2 linked regions of the Lepisosteus oculatus genome follow. The protein of the gene in region 1 interacts with the protein of each later gene in a biochemical or structural test. Links are inferred from orthologs where the notes say so. Each region holds a gene or a part of one and is shown on either strand. Other genes may lie near its edges.

Region 1 (7,728 bases):
CCTCTACTTTAAAGCAGCACAATCAGAGGATGCTCACTTGACCTTCACAGTGGGTGACACTTGAGCCCTGAAATCACCACTGTAGTGCATGAATAAAAAAAAAATGCACAATTTAGGAGAACAGAGCTAATTTACATAAGTAGTGCACAGTGTCACCTAACTGACAAGGGCACACCTGAATTAATTGTTGGAATGAATCATAATGACCCTCTGCCACTTTAGAAGAGGCATGAAATGAACAGACACCCAGCCTCACTCACATGGAGGGTTTTCTGTAGCCAAAAAAAGAACATTTCATACCTTATATGACCAAATCAGCTAAAGCAGTTTTTTTTTATTCCAATATAATTAGAGTATCTAACAGTTGAATTGCTTGTTAATGCAATCAATTCAAAATAAAGCCACAAGAGGAAAAACACAAAATTTCAATTAAAGGCTGTAAGACTGTCCTTGAGTACCCCGGCACTCCAGTGCTGCTGCTGTTCAAAAGCAATCCCAATTATGGCAATTTAACACAACGGATGGCTCAGCAAATCAGCATCCACAGCCCTCTGATCCGATGACTTCAGGGTAAACACGGAACCACACAGGGAACCCACAAAACAATCCAACAGGGGCAAGTGTTCTCCAGAAGCACGATTCTGCTTCTTTCATTGATAACTCTTCCCTCTTCTTCTGTACTACTCAACTCTCTACACTTGCCCGTTTAATACAAACTTAAGCCTCCAAATACACTTTCAAATGCACTGACAGTAACATCTTTCATTTTTCACACATTGATGATGAGTAATAGTTTAATAGTATTTCCTAGAACACCTTAGTATGGGCTGTTCAACGATCTAAGCAGCGCGTGGCTGTTTTCCTAATGTTTTATCGGCTGCCGTTTCAGTGCAAAATCATGACCTTTAAAGCATACTGATACCGTACTTCATACCTTGTCAGCGCTCGGGTGCTTTTAAAAGCCTGCGGCTGCAAGACTTGGTTAAAAAATAAGTGGCTGCCTCATGGGAGAGAGATGCACGTCCAAACACAAACATGACACCAATACAGGGGTTCCCACGCTAATCCTGGGGACCTATGCACCTGCTGACTGAGCTCTCAGTTGCATGAACCCTTAATTGACCTAGTAAGAGGTACACTTTCCCCTCTTTAAATGCTCTCAGTCCCCAGACGTATTGGAAGCTCCCTTTTAACTCTTGTGATTCATGGGTCACACAGAGGATCTCCAACTTGCACAGAGTCAAAAAGGTTCCAATCGAGCAATGTGCTGGGTCAATTAAAGGATTCAATTACGTAACGAGCTCAGCTGGAATGGAAACGAACGCCAGTGCGATCCCCAGAACCACAAGCCCCTGCACTAAAGTACTGAAGTCAGTTTTCTTTTAATGCTAAGGAACTTTCTGAAACCTGAGTGATTCCCTACTGTTAAAATATTAAACACGTTGCACTTTCAGATTATATAACATTTTCTTGAACTGCGAATTTATCCTCTGAGCAGAGTGGCAAGAAACAGTTTTCTCAAGGCACTTCTGGCTTGCATACCGATGGTAACACAGCTGACAGAGTGCCAACATCTTATAGACTTTCAATGTGATACTTAAACATAACGATTTTACTTTCTAAACTTCCTGCCAGCAGCGAACACATTTGTGAGTTATAGTGCTGGTTTTATTACCGTTTTCAGAAAGACAAGGATGCACATACTGCAACAGTAACACACAGAATACTCAACCAGCACGCATTTATGATGGATTATTAAGAAATATCATCAATAAGATGGTTGTTATTATTATTATTATTATTGAAAGAAGAATAATTATTTTTATGAATGAGACCAAGCTTTATCTAGATAAGGCACATTCAACTGATAAGACTGCTCATGATATTTCACTTTCAGACACGCAGGTGGGTTTTTTTTTTAAACAGATTCAGACGAAACCCCCCTGGCATGAGGGCGCTCCAGAGCGCCGGCATTTGTAAGCATTGTAAACCTGACCCCAACGTGACGTGCCCACCTTTAAACCCAAGAACCACGCGTTCCCGCAGCGACACTGCTGCAATAATATTGCAATTAAAAAAAAAAATGAAGGTCCCGGAATGACGGGATTCCTAGTGAAATGTGAATGCGTTGCGTTGCAGGGCCGCTCATGCTCAGGAAACGCAGTGACGCGAACTGCACGATGCGTCTCCTAACAGGTGCGCACACCCCTTCAGTTAACCATCACTACCAGCTCCTTCAAAACACCGGGCTGAACAAGACCAGGGCACACGAAAAACCCTGCACAATAACGGGGAGGCTTGGCTTGTCTCACCGCCTGACATCTGGCCATTTCGGCGGAGGGCTGGCCTTAATTCGCTACAAAAAAAAAAACATCCACAAACCCTCATGAGGTGCGGCTGAGTAACTGCGTAACGAGAGCTGCACAATGTAAACCGAGGTGCAAACGATATCGGTAGATAAAGCTGCTTTTTTGCGCGGTTGGTTGGGTGGTTGTTGCTTTTGCTCTGGTTTTCGATGGAAACGACCCAGACAACCTAGACAAAAGTCACTTCTCCGATATCCGGGGGGGCTGGAGTGACAGCTACTCGCAGCCGAGAATAAATGAGCAAGTTCCAGCCAAGCACCGGTCGCCTCCGCGCTCCTGCGAACAATTTGGCTCCAGAAGAGCCGCACCCCCACCCCCCCCCGGCAGAAATGTATGTTTCTTCACCCAGCCATGATGAAATTAAATATCCCCCCGAAACAGTGACATTCTAGAAAATGCCTGGCCAACGCAACCGACTGCAAACACCGTTTCCAGCCTACCTTCTCAAAGGAAACGTTGAGGGTCGGGGGGAGGCGGGGTGTAGTTACTCCCGTCAGAAAGGCAGCGGCGTTACTGTATATCCTTTACATTTTCGGAGAAATGTGCCTCGTACTCGACCAGCGCTCAGCTCCCAGGTCGCTGCTGCTCCTGCTCCTCCTGCTCCACTACTTCGGCGGCCGATGCCCGCGGGGCAGCTCCTTCCGGTTCTGCACCGTGGAAAGTAGGCTCGCACGATCGCCGCAGCGCCGCCTAGCGGGCCCTGGCCGCACGGCTTTTCCTGCCCGGGAAGGGCGGCGCACTGGGCAAGCAATGACACAGGCCGGCGGGAGCGAACGGTGGCGCACCCACAGCCCCAGTGCCCCCCGGTGGCAGAGCGGTGAACTACACCCTCTGGAAACAAACAACCACTCTAGTCTCCTTGAGGGGTATTGAATGCTAATAAAAACAACTAAACCCCATAAATAGTGAAATCAAACATCATATAATTTAACTTAATTTTAGTGTCTGTAGCTGCTCCATTTTCTAGTTCTGCTAGGACTTCCTGCTCAATTAAATTGTACCATATTTAAAACAAAAACACCAGAAAGGTATAATGAAATATTTTTAATGAAGACTCTTAACTGTACTTTGATCTCTCTATTTAATTATTATGTTTTTATTTAATTTTTGAATGCTTTTCCTCTTCTTAAAATTATATATTTTGTGGCTTTTTTAATTTGTTGCCAAATACTTCCCTCTGATATCTTTTTTATCCCTGATTGTTAAGAAATTTGTCCACAATGGTTTCAGCATGCCTGAAAGTTTGAATTTGTCCTGAACATCTATTTTACAAAAGCTTGCGCCGTATGTATTTGTAGGATATGGACTATCATACAAAAACAATTAAATATGTATTTATTAAATAATGCTACAAATAAGTGAATATTTTCTGGAAAAATAATTTGTGGGACCCTTCAGAACTGATATAAAAATGGATTCAGAAATTTTCTGCAGTCTAGCATGTTGCAGAAATCAATTCTTAATATTATAAATGAATTATTATGATTAACAGATTTATAGATTGGTGGAAAACAAATTACTTTATATTCTAGCAGTAATGGCAATGCTGATAATAATTGATTGTTCCTCCCCTGTAACAGAGTTTCAGTTTTTACATTTTTAAACACAGAAATCAGGTAGAATGAGCTAACCCCCAATTTAAAGTTTAAGCAGCAGTTACATTTGACAGGATCCCCACTAGAAGATTCCTGGTGCAATTTCCATTGGGTTCCAGTAGAAATTAGCAAAGGGTTTCTCATGGTCTGAACTGCTATTTATTGGTTTAAGATGCTCAAGAAATTAACGTCTACTGGTAATGAAAATGACTACCATCAGACAGCGTGTCTCTCTGTCATAGTCTTACTGAATTTCCTCTTTGGGCTGGTGTTTTGTGAGGCGAGTCTGAGAATTTGCCAATTCCATCGCGCATCGGCTCATACTTCGGAAAAGGAGAAGGGGGGAGGAATTTCTGGACATTTCAAATGAGTATGAAGGCGATTGCAACAATAGATGCGAGGCTGGTGGGCGCACAAGGGTGTCGCCCACACAGATGCAATCTCAGCACAGCCCTGAGGCTGCTGCAAGGCTGTTCTCTGACCCAGGAAGCAGTTCCCAGCGCCGACAAGTTGCTCCGTCAGGCTGCAGGCGGCACTCATTCACTCGCTGTTGCAATTGAACCGTGAGGCTTAATTAGCGATTTCTGGTAGCAGCTCGGGAGGGTGGGTAGGTAGGTAGGTTTCCTCGTCTTGAAACTCCGGCATTTGGCTGCTGCCGTGAAGACCGCGCTATTAAACTGACGGTAAGGCTCTGGTCTCATCAGTAAGGTGTACTGGCGACTGCTAGTCTCTGGTATAGGGACCGGGGCGGTGTGTATGCGTGTGGTGGTGGCGGGGGGTGTCGTTTTTCTTCCTGACAGTAACAGTACAGGCAAAACTGCATGTTGCAATTGCAAAATGTTTTTTTTTGGGGGGGCTCCCCAGCGCCCTGATTGTCAAATGTATCCCCCCAGTAGCTACTGCTTTGAAAGCGAGCTGCCTGAACTACTCCTATTGTGCACCTGCCTTCCTTTGACTTGTAAACGAATCAAACGCACAGATTTCACACGTTTTAGGGTTCGGCTATTACTGGAATTAGGTTTATCGCTGGTGCCGGCAAGCGATTTAAATGTATCATCAGTTTTGTTAACCGTTGTTTATTATGAAACCCGAACCGACATTGGCAGTAGTACACAATGGTTTATTTCTTTGTGTTGAATTTGCGTAAGTGCATGCTGCCGTCTGCAGATATGGTAGTTGATATCGTTTTTGTTGATTGCACAGCGCAGGGTTATTGCAATTTTGTTAAGCCCATTTTGCTGGTAAAAGCCGCACGGAGCTACAGTAATTATAGCCCCTAACAGTCCTAGTTCGTTTTATGATTTTTCGTTTGACATTCTGCCACTTGAAATTTAGTTTGAGAATTAACGCTTATATATCTATATGTTATAGACTTAAGCTGTATTGTTTGAAATCTTTCATTCGAAATCTTCCGTCCAAAGGAGAGTTAACTAGGTCAACGAACAAGCGTTTCGAATTTTTCTTCCAGGGAATGTGTGAATAACAGACCCACAGGTGAGCAGTAAATGTCGAAAGGGCAGGTTCTCTGTGCAGGTAGGAGCTCCAGGTCTCCCCCTTGTGCCACGTGCTCTCGTTCACCTCACAGGTTTTTCAGCGGGGGGGACTAATGAGCCTTAAAGACCAGCGCCTACCTAATCGTCTTGTTGATAAGCTTTCTAGCCCCAGTCTGGTGCTGTGATCAGCCATGAGGTCCTTTTGCATCGCAGACGCATACGGAGCTGAACGGTTGGCAGTTGTGCTCAGGGGGGTACAGCTCCAGTCCTGGGGGGCCCACAATGTTCCTGGGGTTCCTTACACGTTATTTGAGCTCGTTATTTGCTTAATGGGCCAAAGCTGAAGCCCCTCCTTGTCCCGAGAAGATGGGGGTTTAAAGAGGTGTGTGAATCCTGCTGGAGGGCAGCCCTTGAGCACGGAGATCAGATAGACGGGGAGAGAAGCAGGGGGTCAGAGCGCAGGGTCGGCCATTTATACGGCGCCCCTGGAGCAGCTGGGGTGAAGGGCCTTGATCAGGGGCCCAATGGAGTAGGATTCCTCTGCCGGCCGCGGGATACGAACTGGCAACCTCCCAGCCACAGAACCAACGCTCCGCCCTCCCGATGGGCTCTCCCGAGTGGCACAGCCCTTAGTCAGTCAGTTAGTTAGCGAGCTGAATCCGGGCGGCGTTGCTTCGCCTCGCTGCGCACGAGGGCGGTGGAGTGTCCCTATCCCGAGGAGGGGGAGAGGCCTGTTGGTGCACAGGCACATTTGGGAAGGGAAACCTGCTCAAAAGTAGGGCCTATGAATCAGGTCAGGTATGTTTGCGAGCAGTCTGCCGAACGCAGCCTGCGAGATCGCTGTCCCGTCAGCACCTGCTCTGGGCTGGGGAGGGACAGTTGAGGGACACGAGGGGCTGATCGTGCGTTTATATGTATGCAGATCGGTCTTTGTTCTAGCAAAGGGGGGAGGGAGGAGGGAGGAAACAAGATAAAATATCGTTTTTTGAAAAGCGAAAATGGTCTCAGGTCAAAATGGGCTTCGAATAAGAACCGAAGAATCCTGACAAACGAGAGGAGACCTGTTTGGCTCTTCTAGCCTGTTTTGGCAGGTAGTGATGATAGTGATATAGTAGTGGTAGTGCGCCGGTCTCTCTGCTGAGGCGGTTTCGGTACTGCGGTTGGCACTGTTATGTGCTACAGCTGGAGGTCAGACAGTAGCGCGCCTGGTGCCGGATGATGAGCAGTCGGCGCTCAGATATCTGTCTTCGGGCTGTTTCCCCTCGTCCAGGAGCTGTCCTTTAAGCAGCAGCGGAGGCCGCGATGGGCATGGGGTAAACGGCTGCTCGGGGGGGATTATGGGAGACGGGGAGCATGACTGAAGACGCGCTTAGTAACGTCAACTCCCAGTCGTCCCTGAAGACCGTGGCGCTGCGGGTCGGGGAGCTCCCTCTTTCGCTCTACAGCTCCCTCCCACAGGTAAGGGGTCCGGCGCTGGGCTGGCGCTTCGTCCTGGGGACTGTTTTGCGGCGGGCGGGGGGGAAGGCCAGGAGAGACCCTTCATGCAACAGGGAGCCACTGGGCTTTGTACAGCCGCAGATAAGATCACGACCCTGGTGTTTCGGGGCTCGGTTTCACACTGCGGCTGCTCTCTCATCACTGTTGCATGCCTCCTTCATGCTCTGCATCCTGATTCCGCGCCCAGCCCTGCTCTGCGCACACACAGACACATCTGTGTCCCACCCTGTTGTCTTACTGCGCGGTGCCTTTACAGCTGAGCTGCTCCATTGATTGAAGCGATAACACTTAGTGGCTCTGATAAGCATTCCTGCCACACACGAAACTCACAGAATCCACGTTCTCAGTCCTGGTTTTGTTCCTAAATAATGCAGTTTATCAGGAGAACTGATATCCATAAGGAATAATATGATTATCTTGTGAATTAGTTTTCTTAATTGATGACGTGTATCCAAAACTGAGAATAACAATCCTGACTCTGTATCAGGTTTGATCCTTAATACGGGGCTTCATATTGATGTAGGTTGTGTTCTCGAAACTAGGCTGTGCTATGGTGCTTTTGTGTTGGCTACAGAGACTGTTGTGTTCAGACCGAAAACGTTTTCTGTGGGAATGGGAGACGAGTAAGGTTGCGTTCAGAGGCCCCAGTGTCGCCAACGTGCCTGTTGGTATAGAAGCATCGCTTGAGGAATGAGTGTTTGAATGGAGAGCTGTAAGTGTTCGATCTCCGTCAGTGCGAGGCGAAGATTAGAAAAGACGGATGTGCCTCCAGACGGA
Region 2 (7,890 bases), on another chromosome or scaffold:
AATAATCAGTTATGACTTTACTTAAACAGAACATTTCCAGCTCTACAGCACAAAGTGTTTCTCATTAAAACACTAATAAAATGAATGCATTGTTAGGAGGTAAATTTAAGAAACGTACTAACAATCCTGATTAAAACAAGGAAACGCACATACACAGCGGACATATTGCTGCAGTTCTTAACATTATCAACACGCACAGAATATGATAAGGAACCAGCACATGATACAAATGCAAAAGATAATGTACTTTAGTCCCACTCTTAACATGGACAAAATCTGAACAAGACTGTGCACTAGGCAACATGGGTGTATCTGACAAAGATCAAAATCAGTATTTTTAACACTATTGCCTCAAGCCTATAAAAATTGGTTTTAGTCTTTTAAATCTCATTTAGAAACCCATTTGCTGTCCTAATTTTAAAGGAAGACTGTTCCAGATTCTAGGGGCTCTGATAGAGAAAGCCCAATCTCCCTTTGTAATGTAGTTAATTGACAACCTCAGGACCAGGACTGGACACCCTGCAGACACACTGACCACCCAGGACCAGGACTGGACACCTGCAGACACACTGACCCCCAGGACCAGGACTGGACACCCTGCAGACACACTGACCCCCAGGACCAGGACTGGACACCCTGCAGACACACTGACCCCCCAAGACCAGGACTGGACACACTGACCCCTCAGGACCAGGACTAGACACCTGCAGACACAATGACCCCCCAAGACCAGGACTGGACACCCTGCAGACACACTGACCCCCCAAGACCAGGACTGGACACACTGACCTCCCAGGACCAGGACTGGACACCCTGCAGACACACTGACCCCCAGGACCAGGACTGGACACCCTGCAGACACACTGACCCCCCAAGACCAGGACTGGACACACTGACCCCTCAGGACCAGGACTAGACACCTGCAGACACAATGACCCCCCAAGACCAGGACTGGACACCCTGCAGACACACTGACCCCCCAAGACCAGGACTGGACACACTGACCTCCCAGGACCAGGACTGGACACCCTGCAGACACAATGACCCCCCAAGACCAGGACTGGACACCCTGCAGACACACTGACCCTCCAGGACCAGGACTGGACACCTTCAGACACACTGACCCTCCAGGACCAGGACTGGACACCCTGCAGACACAATGACCCCCCAAGACCAGGACTGGACACCCTGCAGACACACTGACCCTCCAGGACCAGGACTGGACACCCTGCAGACACACTGACCCTCCAGGACCAGGACTGGACACCCTGCAGACACACTGACCCTCCAGGACCAGGACTGGACACCCTGCAGACACACTGACCCCCCCAGACCAGTACTGGGGAAGCTCTGATAGCACTTTCCTCATCACAGCCCCCAGCATCTACTCTGCCTCCTACTTCACAGGTGGATCTTTCCCTCCTCCGCAAACTTGATTTGGAATTCAAATCAGCAGCCAGGTGAGCCGGGCCTGGAAAACCACAGACACCCCCCCATATACACACCCACGGCCCTCTCCCCCGAGCCCTTCCTGGGAAAGATGAGGAACATCCCCTGCTCTCCGGCCCGGAGCACCGAGGCTGTGCCCAAACCTCCCGGACCGGATCCACAGCCTCTTCACGCACGAGGAAGAGCAGAGACCCCAGCGATCTCATCCCCCACCCGGGGCCGACTGTGCCCCTATCTCACGGGTCCTCCTGAGCGGTCCTCACAGCTGGACCGCTGGTAACCCGAAGAACAGCAGACCTTTCCACAGACCCTCACGGACGCGCCTGGAGAGAAAGAGGCCACCTCTCTCTACCCTCCTTTCCACCCCCGTCACGGACACGCAAGAACACTAGAGGGAAATGCAGAAGAGAATCCAATTTTCTCTGATGAGGTGAATACTGCGGATGCGGGGGAGAGACAGATACACACGGTCCCCATCTCTCTCGGGCGGCACGTCAGGACGCCAGGCAGCCCCGGGCGCAGCGCAGACTGCTGGAGCTGCCGGGTTTTTATAGTTGGTTCCTCTCTTGCGAGACACGGACCCGGAGCGATTTCCGTCGTAGAGAGGAAAACAAAACCCCTAAACAGAACCGCCCCTTGCCGAGGGATGTGCAGCTGCATGCGCCTGTTTATAAAGACGCACACTCCCGCATACATGTCCGTGTGCGTGGGTATCGAAATGTAAACTACACGTCAAACACCACGTCACGACATCGCAAGGAGATCACAAGGAGACGGGCACAGCGCGGCCACCAGCACCGGGAACCCAACCTTTCACATTTCCACCCCACGTAGCCGATACTCTATCTTCCCAGGCGCTGGAGGAACACGGACGAAGGCGTTTGCTTGAGGTCACGCCAGCCAGTCTCGCCACAGACACGCAGGTGACACACAAAAAAAAACACGCAGCTCCTCACCTAGAGAGCCACGACCCCAACGGCAGCAGGACGGAGGCGCTGTGAGGGACACAGTCCAGAGGAGACACGGGCGGGCAGCGACATTATTAATGTTATTATTAAGGATTCCGCGCCACACCAGCCACCCACGGCTACCGTGTCGTGTTCACGTCTCTTCCGCAGCGCGCTAGCGAACAGGAATCTCAGCGGCTCATTTTCACTCCCTTTCTCGAGGGTGTGCGCGCGCGGGGGGGTTGCCTTCTTTCGCTTGAACGTCCACGGCAGTACCACCGCGAAGCGCACCGTCGCACCCGCCCTGGCGATTTAAACTCCCCTCCAGCTCCGCTCCACGGCGGCGGCTCGGCGCACGAAGCGCTGCGGGGGTAGGAAATGTCTCCCTTACCTGGTTCCCGCCTTGTCCCCCATCGCCGACCGGCTGAGTATTTTTATTCTTGATTATTTTAAGAATGCGCCCTCCTCCTTCGCTGCCGTTGTCGCTCGCAGACTTACACACTCGCTCGCTCGGGTTGTTCCCCTCCTCCCCTCTCTCTCTCTTTCTCTCGTTTCCGCAGCCAGCAGACGGAAGAACGGCTCGACAACCTGACAGCCGCCCTGGCCCCGCCCGCCGTCACTGACGGACAGCCGCGTTAGCCAACCGCTCGCCTGGAACGACAGCGCCGCCGACCAATCGGAGCCTTCCGGTGGGAGAGCTGTTCGCTCGCCTAAGGAAAGCAAAGGTTCCCGCCTCGACTCCCGTGACATCATCGCCCTACAAAACTGTATTATTATTTACTCTTCTCGCAACAGCCAGTCAAAATTTACCGTTCGGGAAGAGAGGCGGTACTGCCTCTTGATGGACAGCAGCAGCACCCAATTACAGCGCACGAATTTGTTTACGCACTTCGGAATACGATCTTAGTGTCTTTGGATAGATGTTTTTAACCCGAGGTGCAGAAATTAATGCATCGAAAATGGTTTGTTGGATAGAGTTGGTGTGACTGTAGGTACCCGTGAGGGAGCGAACGGATGGGTGCCTAAAGTTGGCTGAATTTTCAGTGCCTAAATAAAAAATGCTCCCCCGGTTCTGGGGGTTAATGAAGCCTTCAGTATTTAGGGGTTTCCGTAGCACGCTCGCAGTCTGTTACACGTTAATTTTATGTAAATATATATTTTTTTAATTAAACGTTAGACTGTTCTCTGCCTCCTCTGATATTTCCGGAGGTGAAACTTCTATTTAGGGCTACCGCGGCGAGTGCGCACGCATTGCACTAATGAACAGGAGGACAGAGTACACAAGACTGATGTGATACAGCCGTCAGCCCGAAACGATTTCTCACATGTGCAGATTATGATAAGAGTCTTCAACCCAGGTACTGAAGAGACCCGGTCCAGTCAGTACAGGAGTCTCCAGCCCCGGTCCGGTCAGTACGGGGTCTCCAGCAGAGACACATCCAGCCCTGCTCCCATAGAGACTTTGTCCATGTCTCTGTCTCCAACAAAACAGGATCGTTGTTTTTAATAATTGTGATAAAACCCACTGGCAGGACCCACTAATACAACGCTTTGTGAGTTGTAATATTACTGTGTCTCTCCTGTTCTGGCTTTCAGTTGATTATGTGAATCACCTGTAATGGCTACATTAACACAGATTTCACTGTATTCAGCATAACTGCACTACTTGTGTATATTGCATGCACCATGGACACATAGCAGCTCTACTCATTGAGTTTCAATTTCTATTACATCTATTATGTAACCTTATTTTCATAACCTCATTTTTGTGATTTTTGTGAGCTCACAGAAAAAATAAATCATTGCCAGCAACTACTGCTGCACGCTGTAGTGTTGTGCATTTGATAAATAAACTTTGATTTGATTTGATTGGATGGTCAGAGCTCTATGTGGCTTGTCTCCCCGGTCGATGTGTTGTCTGTCGGCTCCCCTCCATGGGACCTCTGCTCAGCTGATTCTGGTTACTGTGTCTCCCCTGTGTTTCATCAGCACTCTGGGGGTGACAGGGTCTGGTGTCGCTGCCCCCAGAAGACATCAGGGCTTCAGCGGCAATGGGTGCTTTCACTCTTCTTTATGTGATTCTCTGCACTCTAATGTGCTTTGTTGTTTTTCATTGGATTTGAGCGGTGATGAGCAGTACGGACTTTGAAATGAGCAGATGAGACGGGCAGTTCCCCAGTCGAACTCTCAATTCAATTCCATTTATTGTTCTCTAGCGCCTTTCACAACAAGGTTGCTGGAGGAACTCCCCAGTGTCCTTGTGCAAGAACATGAGACGGGTGGCAAATGAGAGGCAACCATCCGGCCCTTTTGTTTGTTATCTGGTGATTGATCCCAGGATCTCATCCTGGCGTTTCTGAGTGGAAGTCAAAGTATCCGTTTACAAAATATGGCTTGTTCCACACTCCCACCGCCCTTGGTGGACAGACGTGCCTCCTGGTCTTAGTTTTAAATGCACCTCCAGTGCGTATACAGCCTCCCCATGGGACAGATGGCTGCTGAGGACTTCTGTGCTCAATGCTGTGCTGTGCAGTGAAATTCCAGGAACGTTTCTGGCCTCCTTCCAGCTCACTTAAACTCCCACACATCCAGCTTATCACTTCTCTTCAGTGCAGCCTAATATCACAGCTGGTGACTCTGCCCTGTAACAAACTCCATGTACAGTTCCCACATTCTCCTGACAGATCCATCCATTTTTGAATCTGCCTTATCCAGTCTAGGGTCACGGGGAAGCTGAAGCTTAACACAGTAAGCAATGGGTACAAGGCAGGGTACACCCTGGATGGGACGCCAGTCCACCACAGGACACACACATTCCCACCAGGGGCATTTTTCCCATATGCCACTTAATCTACCAGCAAATCCTCCGGAGCGCTGGAAGGGACTTTGGGAAATCCCTGTTCCTTGAGCTCCTGCTCCGCAGTTTCAGAGCCGGGACAGGGAAATGGCATGGCCAAAAGCAAGTGGTAGGGCTTGGAGGGACTCTTTCATTGTGTAAATCCATCCACTTGCCCTGATTGATAACAGACAATCACCTGAGTGAGGAAGTTTTTATGTCATGTGAGTCTGATTATCTGTTAGAAAGTTTACTACTGTGAGATGTGTTTGTGAAAGGTTATTTTGATAAAAACCTCCGGAGCACCTGGAGGAAACCCATGCGAACACGAGGAGAACATACAAACTCCACGCAGACAGCACCCTAGGAAATGAAGGCAGGGCCCCAGCATTGCAAGGGAGCACTACTCACAACTGAGCCACTGTGCCGCTATCTATTGGCTGATGATCTGGATGAAAGGTGCTTGTAGCGACCCCTAGTGGCTACACTGTCACTGTCATCACACTCCTCAGCGCTCTGGCCCAGGGTGGCCTTGGCCAGGTTTGCAACAGGCTCACACACACAAAATAAGACGAGTGTCCAGCGTTATACTTTGCTAGCAGTCTGTCTAGGAATGCACACTGGAGAGCATATTAGCAAACAAAAAGACAACATGCGTTCGTTAATTACCTAATTAGCTACTGACCTTTTTTAATGATGAAGAGAAGTGAAGAGAAGCCTGAAGGAGATATAGAGGACTGGGCTGACAGAAAGCTGTCCCACCGACTCGGTGATACATTGCTCATTGTATTACAATTGCACTGCACTGATTCCTGGACAGCGAAACTGGACACAGACAGACATCGCTGTCCAGAGAGGACAGGCTCAGGGACCACAGACTGGACAGAGAAACTGGACACAGGCAAACTGGGCTGTCCAGAAAGGAAAGCTCAATGATCACAGATGGGACAGAAACTGGACACAATGTGAGGACAGGCTGTGCTCCTACTGCCAGCAGGGAGATACACTTTCTACTGCACTATGAGTAACACTCAAGAATTAGACATTCTTCCCTTAAATAAATATAATCCCAGAATTCCCACAGCTGCTAGAATCAGGTCGCTTTCCTATCCCACTGTGACATTGATGAAGACTGTAGTCAGTGTTGGAGACTGTAATGTCTTCTGAGATTTACTGGGGTCTTAAACCCAGTTCCTGGAGGATCTAGTTCTATCTAAATTTGTCCTAATTATTTAATTAAGTGTTGAAATAAAAGAGTTCCAACTTGACTGCGAGCTGTTTTATAGTTAACTGCTCCTTTAGCAAAGTGATGGGGTTCATATGACCTCTGAAGGTCTGGTCTGTCGTATGTCCTCTGGAGTCAAGGAGAAGTGGCTGGGAGTCTGTTCCTCTTCCTCACCCCCCGGACAGACAGTGGACAAGATCGAAGTCACGGATCACAGTGTTACCTGCTGGGAATGGGGTCACTGGGAAGGAAGGAGGATCAGATTTGCATTTCTTTTCCCAAATTTCTTCTTCCTACCAGCCTTTTCTGAGGACGTCTGCCTTGGTGAGCGAACTGCTACAGAACAAGCCAAACAACTCAGCAGGGTAAGAAGAAAAACAGGTTTTAATCATTGGCTTCACATCAACAAGGCTTCTGAAAAAAAAGCATTTTGTTCTTACAAAAATTCTATAAAACAACGTGTTACAAAATTGTGCTGCTTGTTACAATACTGGAATACAGCTGCTGTGTAGTGTTTTTTTATTTTTTTTGGGGGGGGGGGGTCGACCACTGCGAGGTCCAATCAGAGGGTACCCTCCTCACACGCGGGGCTCAAAGACTGACTCGCACACCAGTGCAAACGGGCCAACGGCTGGGCCCGAAAAGGGCAGAGTCTTTGCAAACTCCTGTCCGCTGAGGCTCCTTCACAGTAACATGCACCCAGGTCCCCTCTCCCTGTCTGTGCCCCGTCTGAACCACACAGGAAAAGCAATCGATAAGAGGAGATCCTGTGCCGAGGTAGAAGGAAGCTGTGTAAGCTCGAGTCTCTGAGCCCCGCAGTGCAGCACAGGAAGAGCCTGCACCTCCGCACACACGGTCACGGTTCGCTGCCCCGGTCCTGTAGGAACCCCAAATCTTCTGGTCTGCTCTCCATTCGAGATCTTCATCACTGGCTCTGACTGGGGTAGGATTGTAGATTTGCTCTTAGCTCTTACGAGGCCAGATAGGATTTGAAATCTGTATTCTGCACTGTTTTCAGAACTGCCCTCATTGAGCTGTGTTTGCTGAACATGTATATGATTTGAGCTGCAGAAGAAAGGCTCATTGTGGGTATGTCTGATAAAGAACAACTCCCACTGTGGTTGTTTCTGATATACGCACACCCACTGTGGGTGTGTCTGATATGCTCACAGTAAATCAGACACCTGTGAACAAACTGAAGGAACACGTAAAAGAAAAGTCTAGAGGCTCAAGCAGATGAGTGAAGGCAGCAGTGCTGGAGGAGCAGAGCTCAGCTGGAGTGAAGACCAGCAGGCGGTGCTCCTTCAGGGCCGGAGGCAGGGAACTGCTGCTGTTAAGGAGGTAACTGCACCGTGTGGCAGAGACAGCAGACAACTCTCACACGTCAAGTAAGAGGGCTTCCCAGGTCGCCGCTAGCTGTCACATGGCGTGGA

What was found.
Region 2: of the proteins of usp33 (region 1) and arrb2a, one has a biochemical effect on the other in vitro, tested with the Homo sapiens proteins (2 studies listed by BioGRID, with this or other methods). The link is inferred for Lepisosteus oculatus from reciprocal best matches to the Homo sapiens genes USP33 and ARRB2.

The regions. Positions count from the first base shown.
Region 1 is NC_090704.1:3,776,545-3,784,272, reverse strand, and holds the start of usp33 (ubiquitin carboxyl-terminal hydrolase 33), read right to left. Parts: upstream 3,011-7,728; 5' UTR 2,807-3,010; intron 1-2,806. Other genes in the region: miga1 (mitoguardin 1), read left to right, coding at 6,808-6,912. UniProt on the Homo sapiens protein: Deubiquitinating enzyme involved in various processes such as centrosome duplication, cellular migration and beta-2 adrenergic receptor/ADRB2 recycling.
Region 2 is NC_090698.1:12,348,698-12,356,587, forward strand, and holds the start of arrb2a (arrestin, beta 2a), read right to left. Parts: upstream 3,010-7,890; 5' UTR 2,811-3,009; coding exon 2,788-2,810; intron 2,768-2,787; exon of another isoform or gene 2,109-2,767; intron 1-2,108. UniProt on the Homo sapiens protein: Functions in regulating agonist-mediated G-protein coupled receptor (GPCR) signaling by mediating both receptor desensitization and resensitization processes.